Linked DNA regions of Stegostoma tigrinum. The main gene of each other region encodes a partner of the protein of the gene in region 2 in a complex. Links are inferred from orthologs where the notes say so. Each region holds a gene or a part of one and is shown on either strand. Other genes may lie near its edges.

Evidence for each region.
Region 1: cpsf2 (region 2) and cpsf3 share a complex: the UniProt entries of both Homo sapiens proteins name them as parts of the cleavage and polyadenylation specificity factor (CPSF) complex. The link is inferred for Stegostoma tigrinum from reciprocal best matches to the Homo sapiens genes CPSF2 and CPSF3.
Region 3: cpsf2 (region 2) and cpsf4 share a complex: the UniProt entries of both Homo sapiens proteins name them as parts of the cleavage and polyadenylation specificity factor (CPSF) complex. The link is inferred for Stegostoma tigrinum from reciprocal best matches to the Homo sapiens genes CPSF2 and CPSF4.

Annotation. Positions count from the first base shown.
Region 1 is NC_081357.1:115,213,102-115,223,499, reverse strand, and holds the start of cpsf3 (cleavage and polyadenylation specificity factor subunit 3), read right to left. Parts: upstream 4,658-10,398; 5' UTR 4,602-4,657; coding exon 4,531-4,601; intron 3,598-4,530; coding exon 3,534-3,597; intron 3,141-3,533; exon of another isoform or gene 3,140-3,140; coding exon 3,042-3,139; intron 104-3,041; coding exon 1-103. UniProt on the Homo sapiens protein: Component of the cleavage and polyadenylation specificity factor (CPSF) complex that plays a key role in pre-mRNA 3'-end formation, recognizing the AAUAAA signal sequence and interacting with poly(A) polymerase and other factors to bring about cleavage and poly(A) addition.
Region 2 is NC_081363.1:27,961,935-27,971,323, forward strand, and holds the start of cpsf2 (cleavage and polyadenylation specificity factor subunit 2), read right to left. Parts: upstream 4,482-9,389; 5' UTR 4,346-4,481; intron 1,935-4,345; 5' UTR 1,908-1,934; coding exon 1,759-1,907; intron 1-1,758. UniProt on the Homo sapiens protein: Component of the cleavage and polyadenylation specificity factor (CPSF) complex that play a key role in pre-mRNA 3'-end formation, recognizing the AAUAAA signal sequence and interacting with poly(A) polymerase and other factors to bring about cleavage and poly(A) addition.
Region 3 is NC_081376.1:10,069,105-10,079,221, reverse strand, and holds the start of cpsf4 (cleavage and polyadenylation specificity factor subunit 4), read right to left. Parts: upstream 3,881-10,117; 5' UTR 3,861-3,880; coding exon 3,620-3,860; intron 1-3,619. UniProt on the Homo sapiens protein: Component of the cleavage and polyadenylation specificity factor (CPSF) complex that play a key role in pre-mRNA 3'-end formation, recognizing the AAUAAA signal sequence and interacting with poly(A) polymerase and other factors to bring about cleavage and poly(A) addition.

The DNA.
Region 1 (10,398 bases), on a different chromosome or scaffold from region 2:
CCAGCGATATATAGCTTTTGTTGCATGAGTCATAAAAGTTCTGCCTTTAAAACTAGTCTTTTGTAGGAACCATGGAAGTGCACCACAGTGATCTAAATGGAAACTGTTAATAATCAAATTAAACAGAAAAATTATACATATGCAAAGGCAGCCTCATGCTTTTGCTTGGAGAAAATATTGCTGCAAATCATTGGTCAATTAACAAAAGGTACATCTGAGTTCACATTATTCACATCATTAATATTTCCAAAAATATACTAAAATACTTTTAGAGGGATAGAGTTCTCAGATCAACACAGTTTAAAAGGCAAACAGAATGGACAAAAGTATTGGGCTGGAAAAGATAAACTCGTGTACCTAGCCTGTCCCACCCATACTGCTGAAATTTTTTGAGCACATATCTGCAGCTACACAGGCAAGTAGCTCAAAAGCTGAGGCCAGTTGTGGGGAAGATCTGGAAAATAATGTGACCCTTTTAGGCAATGGAAAGGATAGCACACTGATTCTGAGTTACAGTATAAAGTCTCCATCTTGTACAGTGTGATCACCATCCTCGCCTGAAACAAATCAATGTTTACCCTGAAAGAACACAGTGGAGCAGTTTTCACCACACAATGCTGCTAACAGGCCCATTGCAACTAAATTTGATGGTGAAATGAAACTGAAGGTCACGTTAAGTTGTGTGGATGATGGAAGGAAGCTACAAAAGGGACACAGTGTAAGGTAGCAGATAAAACTGCCGAGTTCAGTTTGGGAAGTGAGAGATGATCTAGTTGGACCTGACACACAATTTTGGAAAATACAAGACAGTAAAAATTGCTAAGGAGTGCATGATCCAGATGCTCTCAAAGTTAGTATCCAGGCACAAAAAGAAATCAACAATGCCAATTGCCATGATCTCAAGGGGTTTGCACATTAAGGTGAAAAGATAACACAGTGGTTACAGACTATGCGGCATACGTTATTCAGTTTTGAAAACTAAACCTCAAGAAGGACATTATTGATTTTAGAGGTAATATAGTGCAGACTCACCAGAATGGGATCACGGTTTCAATCTTAAATTATCATGATCGGATACATTAGCATAGCTGTAATTTTCAGAGTTCAGAAGGGCGAGGATTGATATAATCAATGTTTTGTTTTATGTTTTATGGAAATCATTTGTGTAAATGCAGAGAAACCAGTATTGGGAAAATATACAACAGCAGAGCATAATCTTAAACTTGCCATTTAGGTAAGATCATAAAATATAAAAGCAGAATTAGGCCACTTAGCCCATCAAGACTTCTTCATCGTTTGATCATGGCTGATACGTTCCTCAACGCCATCCTCCCGGCTTCTCCCCATAACCCTTGAACCCCATATCCATCAAGAACCTGTCTATCTCTGTCTTAAATACACTCCATGACTAGGGCTTTATAGCCCTCTGCAACAATGAATTCCACAGATTAACCAACTTTTGATTGACGAAGTTCCTCCTCATCTCAGTTCTTAAGGGCTGCTCTTCATTCTGAGGCTGTGCCCTCAGGTCCTAGTCTCTCCCACTAATGAAAAAGTCTTCTCCCTATCCAGTCTAGCCAGGTGTCTCTGTAGGTTTCAGTGAGATCCCTGCTCACCCTTCTAAACTGCATAGAGTACAAACCCAGAATCCTCATGACAAGCTCAACATCACCGGGATCATTTTTGTAAACTGCCTCTGGTTCTCCTCCAATGCCAGTACATCTTTCCTTAGATATGAAGCCTAAAACTGCTCACAATATTCCAAATGACCAGAGCCTTTATACAGCTTCCACAGTACATTTCTGCTCTTGTATTCTGTGAATGCTAAAATTACACCTTCCCTTCTGACTGCCAACTGAACCTGCATATCAACCTTAAGAGAAATCTGAACTAGGACTCCCAAATCCCTTTGTGCTTCAGATTTCTAATGGCATTCTGTTTAGAAAACAGACAGCATCTCTATTCTTCCTTTGAAAGTGCAAACCTCACATATTCCAACACTGTATTCCATGTACCACTTCTTTGCCCACTCTCCGAGCCAATCCAAATCCTTGTGCAGCCTCCCCACTTGCTCAACACTACCTATCCCTCCACTTGTGGGCCATCTGCAAATTTAGCAAAATTGCCCTCAGTTCCTTTGTCCACATTGTTAATGTATAACACGAATAATGTGCAGTCACAATGCTAATGCCACATGTTACCAGTTGCTGTCCTAAAACAAGACCTCTTAAACCCCACTACTCTGCTTTCTGCTCGTCAGCCAATCCTCCATCCATTCCAGAACCTTGCCCCTAACACCACAGGTTCTTAAATTATTTAGCAGCCCTCCATCCAGCACCATGTCAAAGGCTTTCTGGCTAAACAGATCACATCCACTGGGGCTCCTTTGATTTTATTGTTACCTCTTCACCAAAATTCTCATAGATTTGTCAGGCATGACCTCCTCTTGACGAACCCATGTTGACTCAGCCCCATTTTACCATGCATTTCCAAGTACTCCGCAATCTCATCCTTAATAATAGACTCTCAAATCTTACAGGGTAGGAGAAAATAGGAACCTGCTCCCCAGAAAAAATTGTGTATGTCAGTCAATTAAGATTGGAAAATTGACAGATGTTGCACAGGAAAGATACCAAAGTACGTGGAATAAAGACAAGCAAAGGAGTTGAGGTAAAGATCAGCAATAATGTAACTGAATAAGACAATAGGTTCATGGGACAGATGGGTTATTTCTATCCCTGTGTTCCTACAAACAATAATATAAGCCTTTTGTTTAAAATGTGTGAAAAGGAGAGCAGCATTTTGGTTATAGCAAAATCTTAACAAAACTAGCTCTCAAGTCCAAATGTCAATGATCTGTTTAACAATCTGATTATATATATTATTCCCATCTCAGTCAATGCAACAACTTTTTATTTGTCATCGAGAGTAACTCAACTAAATACAGCGATTGGGTCAATGAAAACAAGGTTCAAATGAAATCTCCTTTTGAAGCCATGTTGTAATTCCTTAATTCTAAAATAGAAAGCTGTAATACTTACTGACTAATAAGGAGAAGATCTATCTCCGCAGGGTCGATCAAATCAATGTATGGAAGTGCATCCATTCCTTCAAGTCCAGGGTGGATTCCACAATCCAACTGAATACGATAAAATTCAGGTGAAGGCGAATCAATAGGCCATCAAAATCAATTCTCAAAGCCGAGTTTAGCATGTTGTTAACGTGAGACCAGATAGACACATAACACCAATATAATCTAATACAAAACAAAGCTTCTTAATCGGATCACATTGCCACCAATTAACCTACAGTTTGAAGAAAGTTTGCAAGCCATATTTTTAATCAACATAGACATCATTAACAAATATGTGTATCAGTCAGTTTGCAAGAAATCAATTAAAAAATATTATATAAAACTGTAACAATTGTTTAATTTCTGCTAGCCAATCAATGATATTTACTGACAACAAAAACTGAAGTCAACTAGCAATCCTGAAGCCTACTGTACACATTTACAATTTATTAAATCATACCATGATTTTCCTTCCTTTGAACTCCACAATGATGCATGATCTTCCCACCTCTTGACCAGCTCCTCTATTAACAATTCATAAAAAAATTCTCAAACTTATGTGATGAAAAGCAATGTCTTCTACTGCATCAATTTGAAGAATTATGAATTTAAAAAAGTTGTCTGATGACTTTACAGGCCAGTGCATGAAGTACAAGCATGGATTTGGTCATCACACATACAAGGTTTAAAGTTTTAATTTGAAAGATAAATTCCTGCTGCAGAGATCTCTAACATCAGAGATAACTGAACATCAGTTGCATCCAATATGCAGTTTTCTCAAAAACAGCAGGCTTGTGTGTATTGGGAGAGATACAGGGGAGGGAAGGAAAACAGAGATGGGTGTACAGGAGAGGGCCGAGGGAGATGGGGAATATGTGGGAAGAAGCTGGGGGGGTGGGAAGAAGCGGGGGGGGGGAAAGAAGCGGGGGGGGGGGAAGAAGCGGGGGGGGGGGAAGAAGCGGGGGGGGGGGAAGAAGCGGGGGGGGGGGAAGAAGCGGGGGGGGGGGAAGAAGCGGGGGGGGGGGGAAGAAGCGGGGGGGGGGGGAAGAAGCGGGGGGGGGGGAAGAAGCGGGGGGGGGGAAGAAGCGGGGGGGGGGGGGAAGGGGGGGGGAAGAAGCGGGGGGGGGAAGAAGCGGGGGGGGGGGGAAGAAGCGGGGGGGGGGGAAGAAGCGGGGGGGGGGAAGAAGCGGGGGGGGGGAAGAAGCGGGGGGGGAAGAAGCCGGGGGGGGAAGAAGCGGGGGGGGGGAGAAGCGGGGGGGGGGAGAAGCGGGGGGAGAAGCGGGGGGTGGGGGGGGAGGGAAGAGGGGGTGGGGGGAGGGGAGGGGGGTGGGGGGAAGGGGTGGGGGGAAGGGGAGGGGGGGTGGGGGGAAGGGGAGGGGGGTGGGGGGTCGGGGTTGTTGGTGGGGGTCGGGGTGGTGTTGACGGTGTTAGGGGGTGGGGGTGGGGGTGGCACTCACAGCGGGCGGATCAGCAGCTGGTCGCTCTCCTCCGCCGGGACAAAAATCTCCGCTTTCCGCTTAGCCGCCATTGCCGGCCTGGGCACTTCCGGCCCGGCCCCAGTAAACCTCCGGCTGGAAACCGCCTCCACCCCTCACAGGCCGGGAGGTCGGGGGACACAACAAAGTGAAACACTCGAGTCTTGAGAGGGGTTTCATCACAAAGTGTCATATTGTGCACTGAGATAATCGTGTTATTTCTGTAAGAAACCGGGTAATTTGTCAGGTAATTCGTTTTGTTTTTGAAGGTTTTAATATATAGAACGTTTTATACATGTTAAAATCGATGTGTTTTTTTGAGATTCAAATCGTTGGGCATGTTATATGTTGGTGCTCGTCAGCAGTGACTCTCTTTTATAATTAAACTCTTGGTTCCACTTAACCTTTAATGCAGGCCATTCAGTGATGTGATGTCTTAAAGGTAAATGTAATGAAGTACTAAACTGACTGGCTGTACTTAAGGGATGATCTGCACTAGGATCAGAGCAGGTACATCCAAGGATATTGAGGGAAGTGAATGGCGGTCTCCTTAGATACCAGGGTGTTGCCAGACGACTGAAGAATCCTAAGTGCTACATCCTTGTTCGAACCAGAGTGTGCAATATACCTAGTAATCACAAACTGGTTGATTTAACTTCAGTGGTGTTGAAGGTCTTCACGGAATATGGTGTGGATAGAGTCCATTCGGCCCTTTGAGTCTGCCCCAACCCTCCAAAAAGCATCCCATCCATACCTACTCTGCCCCGCCGACCCTAACACCGCATTTATGATGGCTAATCCACCTGCCTACACAATCCCCATGCAGACACGGGTGGAAAGTATAAAACCCACATAGACAGTCACCAGAGGTTGAGTCAACACTTGGTCCCTGGTGCTCTGAGGCACTGTGCTAACCACTGAGCCACTCTTAGGAATAGTAACTGAGGGCACAATTAGCACCACTTGACAAATGTTGATGAGTCAGGGAAAACCACCATGGATTTCTTTAAGAGTAGCAAATGGTAGTCTAAAGAAAGGTAATTAACGTAACCGCACTGCTTAAGGGAAAAGAAGGGAGAGAGAAAGCAGGGAATTATAGATCAGTTAACTCAATGTAGATGGTTAGGAAAATGTTTGAGTCCACTATAAAAGATTTAATGGGAGGGCATTTTAGAAAACAGTGACAGGATTGGACAGAGTCAGTATAGATTTATAAAAGGGAAAGCATGCTTGACAAATCTACCGGAATTTTTTGAATTGATAAGGGGGAGCCAGTGGATATGGTTTACTTGGGCTTTCAGAAGGCTTTTGATAAGGTCATAGAGTCAGAGAAGCCATACAACATGGAAACAGACCCTTCTGTTCAACTCATCCACGTCAACCAAATGTCCTAAATAAATCTGGTCCGTTTCTCTCTCAACCCTTTCTAATCAGGTACCCTTCCAGATGCCTTTTAAATGTGTATTTGTACCAGCCTCCACCACCTTTGGCAGCTCATTCCACACACGTAGCGCCATGAAAAAGTTGCGCCTTAGGTCCATTTTAAATCTTTCCGCTCTAACTTTAAACTCCTCTAGTTTTAGACTCCCTTACCTGGGGAAAAGACCTTGGTTATTCACCTTATCCATGCCCCTCATGATTTTATAAACCCCTATAAGGTCACTCCTCAACCTCCAACACTTCAGGGAAAATTGTCCCAGCCTATTCAGCCTCTCCCTAAAACTCAGACACTCCAATCCCGTCAATGTTTTTCTAAATCTTTTCTGCACCCTTTCTTGTTGTTCAATGGTGGGAATCATGGTCCGTGGGAAATAGAGGGAGAGTGAGTGCTGGCAGTCAGCCTCAGCAAGAAAGAGATCAGTACACCAGACAACAGCACAACCCTTGTTGGCAAAGGTTTGATCTGAGAGCATGGAGTGCACTCAGTTCAGAGGGAGATCGGTTCAAATGCGTGAGCGGGGCAGGGGAAAAAAATTAGGGTGACCAATGTGATATTGATAGTTCTCAGTGAACAAATTGTTCACGGTTAAGGAAAGGAGGGAGGGGTCCAGGTAGAGGGAGAATAGAATTTTGAGAAGATTTGTAGCTCAGGTTGAGGTTCTGGATGTGAGTTTGCTTGCTGAGCTGGAAGGTTAGTTTTCAGACGTTTCATCACCTTTTTTTTATTTGAAAAAATATACTTTATTCATAAGATGCACAAAAAATAAAACATATTTATACACCTACCCAGTCATGCAAGCTGCTCCGGGTTACCCAGGGGGTACGTACACCAACTAAAGGAAAAAAAAACAAACAAAGAAGAAAAAAAAACAAAGCAAAGAAAATACCCCGGCAGTCGTCACTCCGCACAGTCCCAGTTGGCCCCCTGACCAGTTGGGGAAGGCGCCAGCTGGGCCCAGTTACCAGATAGGGCCCTTTTTTCTATTCTGGATGAGGGGTTTCATACCGTGGTCTTTCCCCACCGTGCCTTGGCGGCGGCTGCCCCAAGCTTCAGCGCGTCCCTCAGCATGTAGTCCTGGACCTTGGAGTGCGCCAGTCTGCAACACTCGGTCGGGGTCAGTTCTTTCAGCTGGCAGACCAGCAAGTTGCGGGCAGACCAAAGAGCGTCTTTCACTGCATTGATGGTCCTCCAGGCGCAGTTGATGTTGGTCTCGGTGTGCGTCCCAGGAAACAGCCCGTAGAGCACGGAGTCCCGCGTCACGGACCTGCTCGGGACGAACCTCGACAAATACCACTGCATCCCCCTCCAGACCTCCTGCGCATAGGCACACTCCAGAAGGAGGTGATCGACAGTCTCGTTCTCCCCCCGCAGCCACCTCGAGGGCAGTGTGCGGTGGCGCAGAGATTCCGGGCATGCATAAAGGATCTCACTGGCAGAGCCCCTCTCACCGCCAGCCAAGCAATGTCCTTGTGCTTGTTTGAAAGTTCTGGCGATGAGGCATTCTGCCAAACGACTTTGGCAGTCTGCGTGGGGAACCACACGACGGGATCCACCCTCTCCTTTTCCCGAAGGGTCTCAAGGATACTACGTGCTGACCACTGCCTGACGGCCTTGTGGTCAAAGGTGTTTCCCTTCAAAAACTTCTCCACGAAGGACAGGTGGTACAGGACGGTCCAACTACTCGGAGCGTTCCGCAGCAACGAGGCCAGGCCCATCCTTCGCAACACCGGGGACAGGTAGAACCTCAGTAAGTAGTGACACTTGGTGTTTGTGTACTGAGGATCTACGCACAGCTTGATGCAGCCGCACACCGAGGTAGCCATCAGGGCGAGGGTGGCGTTCAGTACGCCCTTTCCCCCATTTTCCAGGTCTTTGTACATGGTGTCCCTGCGGACCCAGTCCATCCTCGACCCCCAAATGAAGTGGAAGATGGCCCAGGTGACCGCAGCGGCGCAGGTCCAGGGAATAGGCCAGGCCTGCGCCACATACAACAGTACCGACAGCCCCTCGCACCTGACAACCAGGTTCTTACCCGCGATGGAGAGGGACCAGAGCATCCACCTGCCCAGCTTCTGCTTCAATTTGGTGATACACTCCTCCCAAGTCTCAGTGCACGGCCCAGCTCCACCGAACCAAACACCCAGCACCTTCAGGTAGTCTGTCCTGACGGTGAAGGGGATGAAGGAGCGGTCGTCCCAGTTCCCGAAGAACATGACCTCGCTCTTACCCCTATTGACTTTGGCACCCGAGGCCAGTTCAAACTGGCCGCAGATGTCCAACAGCCTACTCACCGACTGACGATCGGTGCAGAAGACGGCGACGTCGTCCATGTACAGGGAGGTCTTGACCTGAAGGCCTCCGTTGCCTGGGATAGTCACGCCCTTCAGGCTCACGTCCTTCCTGATGGATGGGGCGAAGGGCTCCACACAGAACACGAACAAGGCAGGAGAGAGCAGGCAGCCCTGCCTGACTCCAGATCTGATGGGAAAACTGTCCGATTCCCACCCGTTGATCGAGACTGTGCTAACGATGTTGGTGTAGAGCAGCCGGATCCAATTGCGGATGCCCTCCCCGAACGAGGACGTCTCTCATGTAAGCGTGAGAGAACCTGTCGAAGGCCTTCTCCTAGTCCAGGCTGACGAGGCAGGTGTCCACTCGCCTGTCCTGTACGTAGGCAGTTGTATCCCTGATGAGCGCGAGGCTCTCAGCGATCTTCCTGCCTGGCACAGCACAGGTTTGGTCAGGGTGAATCACCGACTCCAGGACAGACGTGACCCGGTTGGCTATGACCTTGGCCAGGATTTTGTAGTCCATGTTCAATAGTGAAATGGGACGCCAATTCTTAATTTCTTCCCTCTCCCCCTTCCTCATGGACTTGCACATTTCCCCTGCCTGAAGCGCACTATCGTACACCTCCAGCAGGTCCTGGCCGACCAGGTCCCACAGAGCGGAATACAGCTCGACCGGTAAGCCGTCACTCCCGGGAGTCTTATTCCTCTCCAAGGACTTGAGGGCTCTGGTCAGCTCATCCAGGGATATCGGCCAGTCCAGCCACTCCCTCGTGCTGTCGTCTAAGACCTCCGTGATAGACGACAGGAACGACTCGGAGGCTGTGCTGTCCGTGGGCTTCATGTCGTACAGTCCGGCATAGAAGGATCTGCTGATCCTCAAAATGTCGGGCCGAGACGACGTCACCGAGCCGTCGTCCTCCTTCAGCCGGCTAAGCACAGAGCTCTCTTTGTGCACCCTCTGAAAGAAGAAACGCGAGCACGTCTCGTCCTGCTCCATGGAGCGGACCCTGGACCGGAAGATTATCCTGGAGGCCTCCATGGTGAAGAGCGAGGCTTGCTGGCCCCTCACCTTGCGGAGGTCCTCCGTGACATCGACCCCCATCAACTGCAGAAGGAGCAGGTTCTGCACCCTTTTCTGGAGTTGCGACAGCTTTCCCCGCCTCTCTCTTGCCTTCCGAACACCCTTGAGGACAAAGAACCTCTTGATGTTCTCCTTCACCGTCTCCCACCAGTCGCCCGGAGACTCGAAGAGGGGTTTCAGGGTTCTCCAACCGGCGTACTCCCTCTTAAGCTCCTCGACGTTCTCTGGGATAAACAGAGTCGTGTTGAGCTTCCATGTCCCCTTGCCGGCCGGCTGGTCGTCCTGTAAGTGACAGTCGGCCAGCAGGAGGCAGTGGTCAGATAAGAACACCGGCTCGACGCCGGTGGACCTGACTGAGAACGTCCATGACACAAACAGGAAGTCTATCCTTGAGCGAATAGACCCGTCAGGCTGCAACCAGGTGTACCTCCGCTGCACTCCGTCTGCAGGGGTGCTGAAGACGTCGAGCAGCTTGGCGTCCTTCACCGTCCCCATCAGGAATCTGGACGTGACATCCAGTTGACTCCCCCCACCCGCTGTCCCCACGCCGGATCTTCCATCTGGATCGATGATGCAGTTGAAGTCTCCGCCTAGGATGACCGGCCTGGACGTAGCCAGCAGGGGTGGAAGCCGCTGCAGGACGGCCAACCGCTCACTCCATACCGCTGGGGCGTACACGTTGATCAGCCTCAGGGTAGCATTCCTGTAGGTGACGTCAGCCACTAGGAGGCGTCCCCCCACCACCTCCTGAACTTGAGAGATGGTGAAGTTGCGCCCCCGCAGCAGAATAGCCAGGCCCGAGGATCGACAGTCATTACCCCCCGACCAGATTGAAGGCCCACAGGTCCAGGCGCTGGACCATTTCCCGTACCTGCTGAGGTGCGGTATCCCGCACTCCTGCAGAAACAGGATGTCCGCCTTGACGGTGGTCAGGTAGGCCACCGTGGACACACATCTTGCGGTGGACTTGACGCTGCGCACATTAATGCTCGCAATTCGTACCCCCATTGTGGGTAGTGACCGCAGTACCCACCCTG
Region 2 (9,389 bases):
AAAATACTGAACTGAGAAACCTGCAATGGCTTTATTTCATTTTATTTTACTAACGTCAGACAACTTTTGAATCAAGATTCCACTAAATTTCTGAGAAAGGTAGTGAATATTGTTTTACTGCAGCACAACATAGCATGTGATATGCTGAACAATACTGACCATTGGAATCGATATTTCAGTCTTCGGGATAAATTCAGAAAATGTTATTGAAATTTGAGATCAAGTGCACTGAGGCACGAGGCTCTTACTAAATGGTATGGATAAAATATAATCAGATTACAATATTAAATTAAACAAAACCATTGAATCTAAGGATACAAACTGAGCAAGGGCAAGACTTAAATAGTTAATGGTAGAGCCCTGGGCAGTGCTGTCAAACAGAGAGACCTAGGGGTTCAGGTACAAAGTTCTTTGAAAGTCACAGATAGATGGGGTACTTAAGAAGACATGCGTGCCTCATTGCTTAGACCATGGAATAGAGGAGCTGGGACATCATTTTGCAGCTGTCTAGGACATTGGTAAGGCCACTTTTGGAGTACGGTGTACAGTTCTGGTCACCCTGCTCCAGGGAGTTTATAATTAAATTGGAAAGGGATCAAAGAGATTGAGAAGGACATTGTTAGGACTGGAGGGTTTGCGTTTTAGGGACAGACTTGGAATTCTTTCATTGCAGTGTAGGAGGCTGTAGGATGACCTTACAGAGGTCTGTAAAATCATGAAGGTCACAGATAAGGAGAATAGCAGAAGTTTTTTTCCCTAGGATAGGGTTGTTCAAAACTAGAGGACATATTTTTAAGATCAGAGGAGAAAGATTTAAAAAGGGATCTGAGGGGCAACATTTCACACACAGGGTGGTTCGCATGTGGAATGAACTGCCAGAAGAAGTTGTAGATGCATGTAGTTACAACATTTAGAAGATATTTGCACAGATAGAAGAATAGGAAAGGTTTGGATGGATATGGGCCAAACACAGGCAAGTAGGACTACTTTAGTTTGGGAAACTTGGTTGGCATGGATGAGTTGGACCAAAGGTTCTGTTTCGGTGAGGTTTGACTATGACTCGAAATTAGAATCAGTAAAATGCAACTTCAAAACTGATGGAAGAAGAAAAATATTTTCTTGACAGTTACAAATATTTTTAACATAGTAATGAAAATATTGATTTTATTGTTAGTGTAGCTAGATGGAGCTTTTAATAAACAAAGCAGATATTTTCAATTATCCAAATGATATTTTCATTGACTTCTCGTAAGCGCAATAACCTCTAAAAGTAACTACGTTTGAAAAATAGATAAAAATTTGAATCAGTCTCATACACTCTAATGGCAAGTTACCTACAGAGGTTCAAGATTTCAGGTTGCACTTGAAAGTGGATATCTGGATAAGGTGTCAATGAATAAATAAATAAAAAGATCCAAGAAGCCTCTCATCTTCCACCTTTTGTGAACTTGAGTTTTTCCAAAATCCTGCCACATCTATTTTGACACATGTTGTTATGCTCTCCCATTACCACTTTGTGCCATTTTTGGTGAACTTAATCCAGTAAATTTAGAATATGACTCTATAGGTCCAAGAGTCTGAAAGCCTCACTCATCCACAACTCTATAAATTCCTCCATTCCTACAATCCTTCAGGAACTTTGCACTCTTCCAAATATTACCTATTATAAATCTCTGGTTTCTTACAGCCCAGCATTTTGGACCCTGTTTTCAAATATTTCACATTCAATTAAGTCATTATAAATAACAGTTTGCTTACTTTTTCAGTGCATCAATTATGTCCATGGAGAAGCTTTCATCCCAGCCGCAATCAAGCAAAAAGCGGAACTCATCCACCTGTAGCATATAGCACAGGGCTGATTCCTCCTGGACTCCAGAAATGGTGGTCAGTTTGATGATAGATGTCATTGTTGATTTTCAAATAAACAATCACCTCTGGTAAAATGGAAAAAATAATTAACACACACATAATTTATACAGCCATTAAATAGAAGTAAATAAGAATCTTTAGATATCAATGCATAAAAAGATCATACCGGATATACGGTTCAGAAATAATCAATGCAGTGCAACCAATTCCATATGCTACTCATGCCTTCTTCCTTATCTAAATACATCATAACCCTTTGCTTGCTTCGCCCACGTGTGCTCATCTAGCACACCAATAAATCTACACTATGTGCTTCAACCAATAACTAAAATTTGAAACAATTTATTCTTAATTAAATTGAGTCCGGCCCAAAGATCTTTGAGATTCAGTGATAAATAGTTTAACAGTTTGGTGTGATGCACAAAGGCTTGCCACTCTTAAAGAGTATTGAAGAAGTGTAGCTCGTAAATTTCGTCTGTCTTCATTTCTTCTATCTTCTTGAAAGATTCAAAAACAATCAAATTTTCTGGAGGAGCTGTGTGAAATTAAGCCCGAACAGACATATCAGGTGCAAAAGTCAGTAAAAGAGGAGTACAGGGAACTGTGGTTACTGCTGTGTCAAGTTGCTAGAACTGTTCCATTCCAAGGAAACTTACATGGGCCATTATCCATTCCTTTATATCTACCCTACAATGACTTGCCCATCTTACATTCCAGATGTCATTTGGGTTCAACAATATTCCATGCTTTTGTATTCCACACCTCTAGTTTTAAAAAAATTGTTTTGCTTTCTTTCAGAAAGGATTTACTTGTGTTGTAACCTTTAGTGAACCAGCTACTCCACAGCGAAGCTCCAACACTCATCTGTTCAAATCTTACTATTTGAATCATGTCCCTACTTGCAAAATTTATCACTTCACATTTTTCTACACTGCACTGTTTCTGCCAGCTATTGGTGTCTATTCATCTCACTATTCAATGGCCATCTACAGACCTTCACAATTCCCTCTTTATTTGCCTGTGTCCCCTGCATTTTTGCCTTTTTCTTCGCTTTTGTGGTGCAGCGGTAGTATTGTTACCTCTGGACCAAATTCAAGTCCCACCTGCTCCTGGGGCATAACTGAACAGGTTGATTAAAAATGTCTATTTAGATATTCTTCCACAATTCATGTCAAGATCTTTAATATATACGGTAGATTTATGAAACTCCAATACAAACCAGATCTCTGATTTCAGGTCTAGACCCGAAATGTCAGTTTTCCTGCTCCTAATGCTACTTGGCCTGCTGTGTTCATCCAGCTCTACACCTTGTTATCTCAGATTCTCCAGCATCTGCAGTTCCTACTATCTCTATTAAACTCAATTATGATTTCTGTAAACATTACATAAAATAAATCACTTTATTGAATGTTAAACATTTCTCACTCTCTCAAAATTCCACCTTACCATATAATTTCTTAATTATTAATGTTAATACAAATTTGCTACTAGTAAGTGTAAGTGTGCCACATGGTCAGCAGAACTGACAATCCTAAATTTGTTGTTAGAATAATTATTTGCATATTCAAGAGTATTTGGCAAATGTTGTCAAATTTCAGCATCATATATAATGCCGGATAATGTGCTTTGAGTCTTGTAAACCTGTGTGAAACGCAGCCGATACAACTCAAATAATGGTAGATCATATCAAAAAGCATATCCTTTTACCTGCAGGTATTAAAACTATCCAATCAGCCCTCACCTTCAAAACACAATATTCCAGCTGTAGTCAGTGTCAAGGTTGACATTTATTACAACTTAACTTTTGTACCTAGATCACTTTACTCAAAATCAAAACTCAGTTGGATGTTTACAGTATCACCTATCAGAAGTGCTCCCTTTAACTAAAACTCACCCAAATTCCTCTAATCTTTCAAAGTAAATTAATTTTTGCCCAAATAAAATGAACCACCTACAATTCCTATCTGCCATTTTATCCATTTCCCTTAATAACTTTCGTTTGTCCTCTGATTTACTATGATTCTACTTTTGTACTCTGTTGAGTCAAATGCTAATCCTCTAAAATATCCTGCATGGGCCTTATTCTTATATAACATATCCATCGTGTGTGTTGTAGGCACCCTACACCTCCTGAAAGTATATCAAGCACAAGTCCTTATTTCTGAAATCTGTACTGTGTCCTCCTAAATTAGTTTTAGTCGAACGTACTTCCGAGATATAGCAGTTGCTCTCTGTTGTGTTTTTATGTCACCCTTGTCTTTTTCCTTTTCATATTTGTCACAATGAATCCCAAAAAGTTTCTGGATGGGGAACAAATCTGAACAAGAGCATGGAAATGGGTTCGATCCCAGGGGGGCCGGGGATGGGGGAGGAGACAGAGGGACGGTGGACTAAAAATCCACCTCCGCCTACTTCTGATAATTCCAGCGTTTAATCTCGAAAATGCGAGAGTTTCACAACTTAAAGAATAACATACCTGGTTAAAGTTAAGCGCTGAGGCCGATGCCCCGCGCCCTTTACGGGCCGGCCTGGATTTCTCCTTTCCTTCTCCTCAATACACGAGCCGGACTCCGGCTCCCGCTGCCCGGGCCGCCATCTTGTCTCCGCTACGTCAGCGGGTCAGAGGTGAATAGACTCTACCACCTCTCTCATTCCTCCCCATATTCCGGGTGTGACTGTATCCACCGCTTGCCCTGGTTGTAGAGAGGTGGCCGCTTAGGTGAAGGTGAGTGAGTGTAGACCCACCGGTTACAGGTTCAGCTCCTCTCAGGCGGAACGCCGACTACTCGAGACCCTGGCCCTCCGTCCCTCCTTCCTCCGGCCTAACCAGACTCGGTGTCCCACCACTTTCCTTACCGTTGTAAAGGTCAGAGTCGGGCCCGCTGTCTCTTAAACCCATCTGCATGCGGGCAATAAGTGAACGTTATATATTTCAAAACTTGTAGCAAGCACACACACAAAAGGTGCGGATAGGGAGGCACTTGAGTGGCTTCAAATCTTTGGATTGGGCAAATAGTCAATGCTGTATTCTTGCAGAAATTCTGGGAAAGACCAGGAGAAGAATTATGCAAATAATTAATGTTTGCATGTAGAAACCCGAGAAAAGAGTTGGGGCGGGGGAGTCACTTGCGTTTGTTTTTTAAAAAAAAGTTACTTATCGGAGTTTAGAAGAATGACAAGTAACCCGATTGAAACGTCGAAGATCCTTAGGGGGCTTGACAGGGTACAAAGAGTACAAGCAGGTTGTTTCCCCTGATGGGAGAGTCCAGGACCAGAGGGCATCATCCCCTGAGTAAGGAGACACCCATTTAAAGTGAGGCAATAGCCTAGTGGTATTATTGTTGGACCATCAATCTACAGACCCAAGTAACGTTCTGGGGATAATAAAATGTGAGGCTGGATGAACACAGCAGGCCAAGCAGCATCTCAGGAGCACAAAAGCTGACGTTTCGGGCCTAGACCCTTCATCAGAGAGGGGGATGGGGGGAGGGAACTGGAATAAATAGGGAGAGAGGGGGAGGCGGACCGAAGATGGAGAGTAAAGAAGATAGGTGGAGAGGGTGTAGGTGGGGAGGTAGGGAGGGGATAGGTCAGTCCAGGGAAGACGGACAGGTCAAGGAGGTGGGATGAGGTTAGTAGGTAGCTGGGGGTGCGGCTTGGGGTGGGAGGAAGGGATGGGTGAGAGGAAGAACCGGTTCGGGAGGCAGAGACAGGTTGGACTGGTTTTGGGATGCAGTGGGTGGGGGGGAAGAGCTGGGCTGGTTGTGTGGTGCAGTGGGGGGAGGGGATGAACTGGGCTGGTTGAGGGATGCAGTGGGGGAAGGGGAGATTTTGAAACTGGTGAAGTCCACATTGATACCATATGGCTGCAGGGTTCCCAGGCGGAATATGAGTTGCTGTTCCTGCAACCTTCGGGTGGCATCATTGTGGCAGTGCAGGAGGCCCATGATGGACATGTCATCAAGAGAATGGGAGGGGGAGTGGAAATGGTTTGCGACTGGGAGGTGCAGTTGTTTGTTGCGAACTGAGCGGAGGTGTTCTGCAAAGCGGTCCCCAAGCCTCCGCTTGGTTTCCCCAATGTAGAGAAAGCCGCACCGGGTACAGTGGATGCAGTATACCACATTGGCAGATGTGCAGGTGAACCTCTGCTTAATGTGGAATGTCATCTTGGGGCCTGGGATGGGGGTGAGGGAGGAGGTGTGGGGACAAGTGTAGCATTTCCTGCGGTTGCAGGGGAAGGTGCCGGGTGTGGTGGGGTTGGAGGGCAGTGTGGAGCGAACAAGGGAGTCACGGAGAGAGTGGTCTCTCCGGAAAGCAGACAGGGGTGGGGATGGAAAAATGTCTTGGGTGGTGGGGTCGAAACAACTGCACCTCCCAGTCGCAAACCATTTCCACTCCCCCTCCCATTCTCTTGATGACATGTCCATCATGGGCCTCCTGCACTGCCACAATGATGCCACCCGAAGGTTGCAGGAACAGCAACTCATATTCCGCCTGGGAACCCTGCAGCCATATGGTATCAATGTGGACTTCACCAGTTTCAAAATCTCCCCTTCCCCCACTGCATCCCTCAACCAGCCCAGTTCATCCCCTCCCCCCACTGCACCACACAACCAGCCCAGCTCTTCCCCCCCACCCACTGCATCCCAAAACCAGTCCAACCTGTCTCTGCCTCCCGAACCGGTTCTTCCTCTCACCCATCCCTTCCTCCCACCCCAAGCCGCACCCCCAGCTACCTACTAACCTCATCCCACCTCCTTGACCTGTCCGTCTTCCCTGGACTGACCTATCCCCTCCCTACCTCCCCACCTACACCCTCTCCACCTATCTTCTTTACTCTCCATCTTCGGTCCGCCTCCCCCTCTCTCCCTATTTATTCCAGTTCCCTCCCCCCATCCCCCTCTCTGATGAAGGGTCTAGGCCCGAAACGTCAGCTTTTGTGCTCCTGAGATGCTGCGTGGCCTGCTGTGTTCATCCAGCCTCACATTTTATTATCTTGGAATCTCCAGCATCTGCAGTTCCCATTATCTCTAACGTTCTGGGGACCTGGGTTTGAATCCTACCATGACAGCTGTTGGAATTGGAATTCAATAAATACCTGGAATTAAGAGGCTAATAATGACTATGAACCCGTTGTTGGAAAAATCCATCTGGTTTACTCATTCCTTTTAGGGGAAGTAACTGCCATCCTTACCTAGTCTGGCCTACATGTGACTCCAGACCAACAGCAATGTGGTTGACTCAGGGCAATTATGGAATAAATGCTGGCCTAGCTAGCCACACCCTCATCCTGTAAATGAATTTTAAAAATTTAAAAAGTGATGGGGATTTTTTTTTCCTCTGGGGATGATGAACCTGGAATTCTCTAACACAGAGCTGTCAAAGCTATGATAATGGGAACTGCAGATGCTGGAGAATCCAAGATAATAAAATGTGAGGCTGGATGAACACAGCAGGCCCAGCAGCATCTCAGGAGCACAAAAGCTGACATTTCGGGCCTAGACCCTTCATCAGAGAGGGGGATGGGGTGAGGATTCTGGAATAAATAGGGAGAGAGGGGGAGGCAGACCGAAGATGGAGAGAAAAGAAGATAAGTGGGGAGATAGGGAGGGGATAGGTCAGTCCAGGGAAGACGGACAGGTCAAGGAGGTGGGATGAGGTTAGTAGGTAGGAGATGGAGGTGCGGCTTGGGGTGGGAGGAAGGGATGGGTGAGAAGAACAACAGGTTAGGGAGGCAGAGACAGGTTGGACTGGTTTTGGGATGCAGTGGGTGGAGGGGAAGAGCTGGTTGTGTGGTGCAGTGGGGGGAGGGGACAAACCGGGCTGGTTTTGGGATGCAGTGGGGGAAGGGGAGATTTTGAAGCTGGTGAAGTCCACATTAATACCATTGGACTGCAGGGTTCCCAAGCGGAATATGAGTTGCTGTTCCTGCAACCTTCGGGTGGCATCATTGTGGCACTGCAGGAGGCCCATGATGGACGTGTCATATAAAGAATGGAAGGGGGAGTGAAAATGGTTTGCGACTGGGAGGTGCAGTTGTTTATTGCGAACCGAGCGGAGGTGTCCTACAAAGTGGTCCCCAAGCCTCCGCTTGGTTTCCCCAATGTAGAGGAAGCCACACCGGGTACAGTGGATGCAGTATACCACATTGGCAGATGTGCAGGTGAACCTCTGTTTAATGTGGAAAGTCATCTTGGGGCCTGGGATGGGGTGAGGGAGGAGGTGTGGGGGCAAGTGTAGCATTTCCTGTGGTTGCAGGGGAATGTGCCGGGTGTGGTGGGGTTGGAGGGCAGTGTGGAGCGAACAAGGGAGTCACGGAGAGAGTGGTCTCTCCAGAAAGCAGACAGGGGTGGGATGGAAAAATGTCTTGGGTGGTGGGGTCGGATTGTAGATGGCGGAAGTGTTGGAAAATGATGCATTGTATCCGGAGGTTGGTGGGGTGGTGTGTGAGAACGAGGGGGATCCTCTTTGGGCGGTTGTGGCGGGGGCAGGGTGTGAGGGATGTGTTACGGAAATGCGGGAGACGCGGTCAAGGGCATTCTTGACCACTGTGGGGGGAAAGTTGTGGTCCTTGAAGAACTTGGACATCTGGGATGTGCGGGAGTGGAATGCCTCATCGTGGGAGCAGATGCGGCGGAGGCGGAGGATTTGGGAATAGGGGATGAAATTTTTGCAGGAGGGTGGGTGGGAGGAGGTGTATTCTAGGTAGCTGTGGGAGTCGGTGGGCTTGAAATGGACATCAGTTACAAGCTGGTTGCCTGAAATGGAGACTGAGAGGTCCAGGAAGGTGAGGGATGTGCTGGAGATGGCCCAGGTGAACTGAAGGTTGGGGTGGAAAGTGTTGGTGAAGTGGATGAACTGTTCGACCTCCTCTGGGTAGCAAGAGGCGGCGCCGATACAGTCATCAATGTAACGGAGGAAGAGGTGGGGTTTGGGGCCTGTGTAGGTGCGGAAGAGGGACTGTTCCACTGTCAAAGCTGTGTTATTAAATAAATTCAGGCCTGAGATAGACATACAGGTTTTTAATCATTAAGGGAATCGAAAGTTGTGAGGATAAAGCAGGAAAGTGAAACTGCGGATTAATGGATCAGCCGTTAACTCATCAAATGGTAGTGTCGACTTCTCCTCCTACATCTTATGGCCACATAGGAATTGAAACTCTCTGCCCTTCCTTGGAAACACTTTCACCTAGCTGGTGTTTATCACCTTGTGTCTAGTATCCCTTTTTCCTTGATTCACCTAACTAATCTGATCTTGACTATTAGCAAAGTTTTGCCTCAACCACCACTCTCAGAAATTTCTCAGTTGTGGAAGTGTTTGTACAGAAGTTTTCCTTGGCTTCTTTTTGCCCTGAGCAATATTGATTCCTTAGCCAAAATCACTAAAAATGAGCACATATATCTTATCTCACTGCTGTTGGCACAGCATTGCTGTATGCACATTGGTTACATTGCCTAGAATTTGACAGTGACTATACTTCAGGATTTGTTTGGCTGTAAAATGCTTTCTGACATTCAAAG
Region 3 (10,117 bases), on a different chromosome or scaffold from region 2:
AGTGGGGGGGGGATGGGGGGAGAGAGTGGGGGGGGGATGGGGGAGAGAGTGGGGGGGGGATGGGGGGAGAGAGTGGGGGGGGGATGGGGGGAGAGAGTGGGGGGGGGATGGGGGGGATGGGGGGAGAGTGGGGGGGGATGGGGGGAGAGTGGGGGGGGATGGGGGGAGAGTGGGGGGGGATGGGGGGAGAGTGGGGGGGGATGGGGGAGAGAGTGGGGGGGATGGGGAGAGAGTGGGGGGGATGGGGGAGGGAGAGTGGGGGGGATGGGGGGGGGAGAGTGGGGGGGAAGGGGGGGGAGAGTGGGGGGGAAGGGGGGGGATGGGGGGGAGAGTGGGGGGGATGGGGGGGAGAGTGGGGGGGAGAGTGGGGGGGAGAGTGGGGGGGAGAGTGGGGGGGAGAGTGGGGGGGAGAGTGGGGGGGAGAGTGGGGGGATGGGGGAGAGTGGGGGCAATGGCAGGGGGGGGATGGGGGAGGGTTGGGGGGGGGGAGAGGGGGGGGAGAGTGGGGGGGGAGAGTGGGGGGGGAGAGTGGGGGGGGAGAGTGGGGGGGGAGAGTGGGGGGGGAGAGTGGGGGGGAGAGTGGGGGGGAGAGAGTGGGGGGGAGAGAGTGGGGGGGAGAGAGTGGGGGGGGAGAGAGTGGGGGGGGGAGAGTGGGGGGGGAGAGTGGGGGGGGGAGAGTGGGGGGGGAGAGTGGGGGGGGGAGAGTGGGGGGGGGGAGAGTGGGGGGGGGGAGAGTGGGGGGGGGGAGAGTGGGGGGGGGGAGAGTGGGGGGGGGGGGAGAGTGGGGGGGGGGAGAGTGGGGGGGGGGAGAGTGGGGGGGGGGAGAGTGGGGGGGGGAGAGTGGGGGGGGAGAGTGGGGGGGGGAGAGTGGGGGGGGGGAGAGTGGGGGGGGGGAGAGTGGGGGGGGGTGGAGAGTGGGGGGGGGAGAGTGGGGGGGGGAGAGTGGGGGGGGAGAGTGGGGGGGAGAGTGGGGGGGGGAGAGTGGGGGGGGAGAGTGGGGGGGGGGAGAGTGGGGGGGAGAGGGGGATGGGGGAGAGGGGGATGGGGGAGAGGGGGATGGGGGTGAGGGGGATGGGGGAGAGGGGGATGGGGGAGAGGGGGATGGGGATGGGGGAGGGGGGAGGGGGATGGGGGAGGGGGGAGGGGGGAGGGGGAGCGGGGAGGGGGAGGGGGAGGGGGAGGGGGAGGGGGAGGGGGGAGGGGATGGGGAGAAAATCGGGGAGGGGATGGGGGGGAAAATCGGGGGGGGAAATCGGGGAGGGGATGGGGGGGAAAATCGGGGAGGGCATGGGGGGGAAAATCGGGGAGCGCATGGGGGGGGGAAATCGGGGGGGGGGAAATCGGGAGGGGATGGGGGGGAAAATCGGGGAGGGCATGGGGGGGAAAATCGGGGAGGGCATGGGGGGGGAAAATCGGGGAGGGCATGGGGGGGGAAAATCGGGGAGGGCATGGGGGGGGAAAATCGGGGAGGGCATGGGGGGGGGAAAAATCGGGGAGGGCATGGGGGGGGGGAAATCGGGAGGGCATGGGGGGTGAAATCGGGGAGGGCATGGGGGGGGAAAATCGGGGAGGGCATGGGGGGGGAAAATCGGGGAGGGCATGGGGGGGGGAAAATCGGGGAGGGCATGGGGGGGGGAAAATCGGGGAGGGCATGGGGGGGGAAAATCGGGGAGGGCATGGGGGGGGGAAATCGGGGAGGGCATGGGGGGGGGAAATCGGGAGGGCATGGGGGGGGAAATCGGGGAGGGCATGGGGGGGGGAAATCGGGGAGGGGATGGGGGGGGAAATCGGGGAGGGGATGGGGGGGGGAAATCGGGGAGGGGATGGGGGGGGAAATCGGGGAGGGGAGGGGGGGGAAATCGGGGAGGGATGGGGGGGGAATCGGGGAGGGGATGGGGGGGGGAATCGGGGAGGGGATGGGGGGGGAAATCGGGGAGGGGATGGGGGGGGAATCGGGGAGGGGATGGGGGGGAAATTGTGGGGGGGAAATCGGGGAGGGGATGGGGGGGAAATTGTGGGGGGGGAAATCGGGGAGGGGAGGGGGGAAATCGGGGAGGGGAGGGGGGGAAATCGGGGAGGGGAGGGGGGGAAATCGGGGAGGGGATGGGGGGGGAATCGGGGAGGGGATGGGGGGGGGAATCGGGAGGGGATGGGGGGGGAATCGGGGAGGGGATGGGGGGGAAATTGTGGGGGGGGAAATCGGGGAGGGGGTGGGGGGGGAAATCGGGGAGGGGGTGGGGGGGAAATCGGGGAGGGGATGGGGGGAAATTGTGGGGGGGGAAATCGGGGAGGGGAGGGGGGGAAATCGGGGAGGGGAGGGGGGGAAATCGGGGAGGGATGGGGGGGAAATTGTGGGGGGGAAATCGGGGAGGGAGGGGGGAAATCGGGGAGGGAGGGGGGGAAATCGGGGAGGGGAGGGGGGGAAATCGGGGAGGGGAGGGGGAAAGAAATCGGGGAGGGGATGGGGGGAGGGGATGGGGGGAGGGAAATCGGGGAGGGGATGGGGGGAGGGAAATCGGGGAGGGGATGGGGGAGGGGATGGGGGAGGGGATGGGGAGGGGATGGGGGAGGGGATGGGGGAGGGGATGGGGGAAATCGGGGAGGGATCGGGGAGGGGATCGGGGAGGGGATCGGGGAGGGGATCGGGGAGGGGATCGGGGAGGGGATCGGGGAGGGGAGGGATGGGGGGGGGAGGAGGGATGGGGGGGGGAGGAGGGATGGGGGGGGGAGGAGGATGGGGGGGGAGGAGGGATGGGGGGGGGGAGGAGGGATGGGGGGGGAGGAGGGATGGGGGGGGAGGAGGGATGGGGGGGGAGGAGGGATGGGTGGAGGGGTTGTTGGTGAATGGGGTGAGAGGGGTGTTGGTGAATGGGGGGGTTGGTGAATGGGGGGAGGGGGGGTTGGTGAATGGGGGGAGGGGGGGTTGGTGAATGGGGGGGGTTGGCGAGTGGGGGGGGTTGGCGAGTGGGGGGGGTTGGCGAGTGGGGGGGGGGTTGGCGAGTGGGGGGGGGGGTTGGCGAGGGGGGGGGGGTTGGCGAGTGGGGGGGGGGTTGGCGAGTGGGGGGGGGTGGTTGGCGAGTGGGGGGGGGTTGGTGAGTGGGGGGGGTTGGGTGAGTGGGGGGGGGGGGGTTGGTGAGTGGGGGGGGGGTTGGTGAGTGGGGGGGGGTGGTGAGTGGGGGGGGGATTGGTGAGTGGGGGGGGGTGGTGAGTGGGGGGGGGATTGGTGAGTGGGGGGGATTGGTGAGTGGGGGGGGGGTTGGTGAGTGGGGGGGTTGGTGAGTGGGGGGGTTGGTGAGTGGGGGGGGGGATTGGTGAGTGGGGGGGGTTGGTGAGTGGGGGGGGGGTTTGGTGAGTGGGGGGGGGGTTGGTGAGTGGGGGGGGATTGGTGAGTGGGGGGGGTTGGTGAGTGGGGGGGGGGGTTGGTGAGTGGGGGGGGGGTTGGTGAGTGGGGGGGTGGGATTGGTGAGTGGGGGGGGTTGGTGAGTGGGGGGGGGTTGGTGAGTGGGGGGGGGTTGGTGAGTGGGGGGGGATTGGTGAGTGGGGGGTTGGTGAGTGGGGGGGTTTGGTGAGTGGGGGGGGGGGTGCAGTATGTGAGAGGTCCCGCTCCCCCCGCACTCACTGTCCATTCCGGGGAACGGGAGAGGCTGCGCCCCCAGCTGCTGCTCCACCGCGATCTCCAGCTCGAACCTGATGTGCTCCACATTGAAATGAGCTCCTGCATCCTCCCGCCACCTGAGCCGGGCCCGAGGCTTCACAACAACTACTACTACAACCAGCGCCGGATTCCGGACGGGAGGCCCGAGCACCGGGTACGGTATCCGCTCAGCCCCCTGCTCCAAACAACGAGCCGGCCGCCGCATCAAGAGGCGACCCGTCGCCAGTCACAGCGCCCCCGACTGTACTGGAGGAGCGGGCAGCCGTTCCTATACTGAACAGCGAGCGTCTCCTCGTCTTCACTTTGTAGCCCCCGTGGATTGTCAGGGTTTGCATTTGCCTAGCACCTTTCACCACCTCAAGCGGTTCCAAATCCATCTACAGCTAATGAAGTGTGTTTGATGTGTAGGTCATGTTATCATCTTGGAAATATTTGGCCTTCAGACTCTAACACATTGCACTTTAATTCAGAAATAATGGGAACTGCAGATGCTGGAGAATCTAAGATAACAAAGTGTGAAGCTGGATGAACACAGCAGGCCAAGCAGCATCTCAGGAGCACAAAAGCTTTTGTGCTCTGAGATGCTGCTTGGCCTGCTGTGGTCATCCAGCTTCCCACTTTCATTCAGAGCGGGACTGCTGGGATCTGGAGTAAGAAGCCATTTGTTGTTAAGGGTGGAATAATGACACCCCCCCCCCCCCCGCTCACCTACTTCAGTGTCAACACACACAGTTTTCTTCTCACAGGCTCCTGGGCTGCTGCTACCTGAGTGATTTGCCAGAAATGCTTCCTTCTCCGTCACTCAGCTATTCTCTATCTCACATATACTTTTAAAAGTGTGATTCTCCTCTTTCTGCTTCGTGTGTCTCATCTTAATAGCAGGTCTACAATTATCGGTATCCCTTGCTTTATATTCAAGCACTTTACAGGTAATTCTGATTAATTTTCAATATATTTGTGCCTTACAATTGAAAGGTAGCCATCTCCCCTTCAGACTCTATTTGTTTAATGAAGGCAGTGTCATGCCTTCAGTCAGTTAACTACATGTAAGAAATGTCCAGTAACATAAGTAAGCACAGAACCCAGACTCTCAGAATAGTTGCATGTAGTTTAGAGTTAACATTTGTGATAACTGTGTTACATGTCCACCAAGGCATTATTGAATATATAGATATCATAATATATCTCTATGCATCCTTGTACATTCCATTAGAATCTTTGAAGTCGCCATTGAAGTGCCAAAGCATTTTATTCTTCTTATCCCTTCAGTGTCCAACGCAAGGAAAGATTTGGCGGCCTGTTGTTCTTTGTCAGTTATCCACTGATCCATAAAGTAAATATTTGATTCTTTACACAAGTGAATTTCTGACAAAGTCAGTGGATTGCTAGTCTATGGTGAAATTTTTGTATTTTCTTTTTGTAGCCTAATGCTCTCTAAAATGCCAGTATGAAGATCTGTAGTGCTGTTGTTAGCTTGTTTCCTCTTTTCTCTATTTTTAAATGTTACCCCCTTTTAAAGATGCAAGCTCGTGCTTGTAAGTGGCCTCTGCACAAAAAAATGTAGTAGTGATAATGGTTATTTGTTATTCTCATGCTGTTTCAGGAAAATAGTGGAACTGCCTGGTATTAGAACACAGGTCCTGTAACATTTTTCTGTACTTTGTTACAAAATTAATTTCTTCGATCAGGAAGGCTGTCCTTCCACATTTTTAAATTGCATATTTTTAAAAATCAGAGCTGTCCTGGGCTTCTGGTAAATTGATGTTTTGTTTTAAATATTGGAGTGTCGAGCACCTTATACCAGTTTGTTTTAAAGAGCAGAGTACTCACTACACTTCATTACAGGTTGTAGACATTAATTTTACACCTATTACTCTAGTCTTGATTGTAGTTGCAACTTCAGCTCTAATCTCAGTCAGATTGATGGAATACTGTCAGGTAAAAGACGTTTCAGAATTGTTACGTTACTATAATCTTTTCAGGCCTTTAGCATCCACTTAGTGCAACTAACTCACCTTCACCACTAGCTTTTAATACCCATTTACCACCATCATGATGTGCTTTGTGGGTTTCTTTATATATTCGCCCACATTACAATAGACTTAGGCTCCTTTTGAGATAGATATCTAAAGGTTATTTACAACACTAACCAGTTACACAGAGCTGACTAACTAAAGATATGATACTGAACCTTTTGTACAGACAGACTGAAGCTGGGACAGGTACCTTATATCAGAACGCCACATTTCCTCATAGGATACAGGCCTGTGTTTAGGTTCTATGCCATAACAAAATACCCTGTGTAAATATATGCTATTTGTTGCAGTGGGAATAATGTTGCCAAACAACTTAGCAATAAATTACATGTATATAACGCTTTTACCAACCAGATATGAGGCACATGCAACTGCAGAAGAAGCAATGGGGAACCCATAAACTTGGTCAAACAAAAGGGATTTGATGGGAATTCCAAGGAATAGAATGTGGGAAAGCTGCCTTCCTAATATGCAGTCTTACCTTTGCACACACTCCATGACATATGCTGTTGTGTTTTATAAATGGTATTTCTAAAGCAGACTCCAGGCATTGAAGTCTGTGGGGGGGGGGGGGGTTAGTTCGCTTGCTCGATACTCTATTGCACTGGTCTTGGAGCGAGCCTCCCACTGATTGACATTGATTACGACCAATCACATTGAGGCTTCTTGGCGAGAATGGCCCATTCGCGTCTCCAGTCTCTGTATTTTGGCCAATGGCGACATTTGTGGGCGGGGACTCTCCCGACCGGAAGCACATGGGGACAACTGGAAAGGTTCGGTTTCGAGGAGAAATGTTTATTAAAATTCTCAAGTGGGTTTAGGTTCTCTGCTCTAGGGATGATGTATGGTGGGTATCTCATCCTGTGCTATTATATTTAACCACTAGTTCTCTGCACATACTGACTATGTCAATGTAGAAAGTGCTGGAGAAGCTTAGCAGGTCTGGCAGTGTTTGGGAAATTGATTGATTTATTGTTGTCACATGTACTGAAATACAGTGAAAAGTGTTGCTTTGCGTGCTGTACAGACATATTGTACCATACAAGGTGCATCAGGATAGCAGAACAAAGTACACGATACAGTGTTACAGCTGCAGAGAAGGTGCACAAAGAGATCGGAATTAACCTTAAAGAGGTTTGTTCAAAAGCCTGATAATTGTGGGGAAGAAGCTTTTCTTGAATATATTTGTATGCATGTTTAAACTTCTTTGTCTTCTGGTTTGAGTGATGAATTGAGCAATGTTCACAACTCTCTGTAGTTTTTTGTGGTCTTGGGAAAAGCTGTTGCAATGCCATGCGGTGATACATCCAGATTGGATGCTTTGTATGATGCATCTGTCAAAATTGATAAGAGTCCTTATTAGCCACACTGAAATTCCTTAGCCTCCTGAGGAAGTAGCGATGGTGCTGTGCTTTCCTGACCGTCGTGTTGATGTGGATGAACTAGGAAATATTGTTGGTGATCGTCACTCCCAGGAGTCTGATGTTCTTGACCATCTACACCTCAGTACAATGATGCAGACAGCAGTGTGCCCTCCACTCCGCTTCCTGAAGTCAATGCTCAGCTCCTCTGTTTTGCTGACATTGATGGAGAGATTGCTGTACTTACACTGTGAGGCTAAGCACCCAATCTCTTTGCTGTATTCTGTGTCATGATTGTTTGAGACCTGACCTACAATGATGGTGTTGTCAGCAAACTTATAGTGTTGGGTTCCAATTTGGCCACACAGCTGTGAGTGTATGAGAAGAATAGTAGGGTACTGAGTACACAACCTTAAGGGGCTGGTGTTGAGGATTACGGTGGAGGAGGTGTCGTCACCTGTTCTTATTGATTGCAGTTTATGGGTCAGGACGTCAAGGATCCAGTTACAGCATGGGGAGCCGAGATTGAGGCGTGGAGTTAATATTGTGCAAAGAATCTTGTTTGGAACTGAGGGTGGCCATAAAAATGATGGCTTTATGCTACAGACAAAGGAGAGGATGAAACAGATGGTGAGATTGCCCACTCCAACGACAAAGGGCGTTTTCATAGTGGTGAAGGTGAGACGTTTGGGAACATGAAGGACTGAAGGCAGTAAAGGAAGGATCTAGATCCTTTTCTTTTAACATTTACACGCTTTGTTGCTATTTGCATCCTCACCATCGTTTCGCTCACTCTGCCTCCCCTTTGTCAAATAGCATTAAAACAAGTCACGGGCCAGCCCTCTTCGGTTACTCAATTACTCATGCCACATTTGTCTGTCAGATCTGCTGTATTCCTGCGGTACTTTGTTTTTATTTCAGATCTCCATCCTTAGGATATTGTTTTTGTTAAATTTCATCATCTGCCATGGTGGAATATGAACACACATGCCCAGAACATTCATTGGGAGTTTTAGATTACATAGTTCCATGACATTATCACACCAAAGAGTCACACAGCATGAAAACAGACCTGTCGGTCCAATCAGTCCATGCCAACCATGTTTTTACACTATAGCCTCACACTTGGCCCATATCCCTCTCAACCTTTCTGTACCTGCATCTCCTACTTTCTCTGGCAGTTCATTCCACACACAAACCACATTCTGCAAAAAAGAAAATTGCCCCCATATCCTTTTTAAATCTTTCTCCTCCCACCTTAAAAGTATGCCCCTAGTTTTGAACCCCTCCACCCTGGGGAAAAGACCTTTGTTATTCACCTTACCTATGCTCCTCATGATTTTATAAACCTCTGTAAGGTCATCCCTCAACCTCTTATGCTCCAGTGAAAAAAGTCTCATCCTTTCCAGTCTATATTTATATGTCAAACTCTCCAGTCCCAGCAACATCCTGGTAAATCTTTTCTGAACTGTCTCCAGTTTAATAATATCCTTCCTAGAGCACAGAGACCAGAACTTCATACAGTACTCCAGAAGAGGCCTATCCACTGCCCTGTATAACTTCAACATGATGTTCCAACTCCTCTAAGCAATGAAGGCAAGTCTGAACCACCCTGTCTACCTGTGACGCATATTTCAAAGAATTATGTACTTGAAACCCGACGTCTCTTTGTTCTACAACACTACCCGTGCCCTACCATTAATTGTATAAGTCCTGCCCAAATTTGTATTACCAAAATACAATACTTCACATTTATCCAAATTAAACTACATCTGCTCCTCACATTTGATCTTGATCTCTATGTAATCTTAGAAACTTTCTTCACAGCAAACTGCCTTCCTACCTCCTAAATGGCCTTCTCCTTTATATATTATATAGGGTTGTCTACTGCTTGCTGTTATCCTAAAGGTTAGATGATTGCAGACTTTATACGAACACAGCAAGAGCAATCCTAAAGCAAAGACCCACTGGAGACAGTGCAAAGAAGATTTATGGGAATCATACCAGAAATGTCTGGATGTATGTGTCAGAAAAAGTTTAAAAGGATAGATCTTACATGAAAATAAAAAGGTTGGGGGTGACATGTTTAAACATATGAGAGGTTTTGATAAGGGCGAACACGTAAAATGTTTACACTTTTTGTGAACGGTGTAACTATAGGCTATCAGTAAAGATAGTCTTTGAGAAATGCAGTGGGGAATTCAAAAGAAACTTCTTTGCCCAAAAAAGTGTTTGAAATGAATAGTATTTAAGGAGGGCCAGTAAAGTGTAAGAGGTGGAAAGGAGTAAATACCTTAGCCTCTGGAGACCTGAAATAAAAACAAAAATTGCTGGAAATACTCAGCAGGCCCAGAAGTATATGGAACAAGAAACCAGAAGTAACATTTTTGGTAAATGAAACTTTATCAAAATAGGACCATAGAATGCCTAGCATGCTGAAAGAGGCCATTTGGCCCATCGAGTCTGCACCACCTCTTGGAAGAGCATCCCACCCAGACCCATCCCATCGCTGTAACCCAGCGTGGGGTATTACCCCATGAATTAAGCCACCTAACTTGCATATCCCTGGACACTGTGGGCAATTTAGCATGGCCAGTCCACCCAACCTGAACATCTTTGGACTATGGGAGGAAATCAGAGCAGCCAGAGGAGGAAGGAAGCGTGAAGAATTTAGCAGAGGGAGGGCTGCTCTGGGTCAGGAATGTGGCATAAGAAAGCTTATCAGCCCTGAAGCAAAACTTTTAAAACCGAAATCAGTGCAGCAAAAAGGGCAAAAGGCACCTCATCTCCATAATCCTCATCATGCTGAAGTTACAGAGAGGTGTCTCCTGGCAGAGATCATCTCCATTTTTAAAATATTGCTATAAAGATATTTGTATATACAGGGGGAAATATCACCTCTGTGTTTTGCACTTCACAGATGCTGCATGAGTATTTTCAGCTTTAACTTGTGTATTCGTTGATCTCTGCTGCTGTGATCTGTGTTACCAAAATGTTTGATTATGTTATCCCTGATTTTTCACGCTGCACCTCAACATCTATGATTACAAGCAGCCTTCACACGG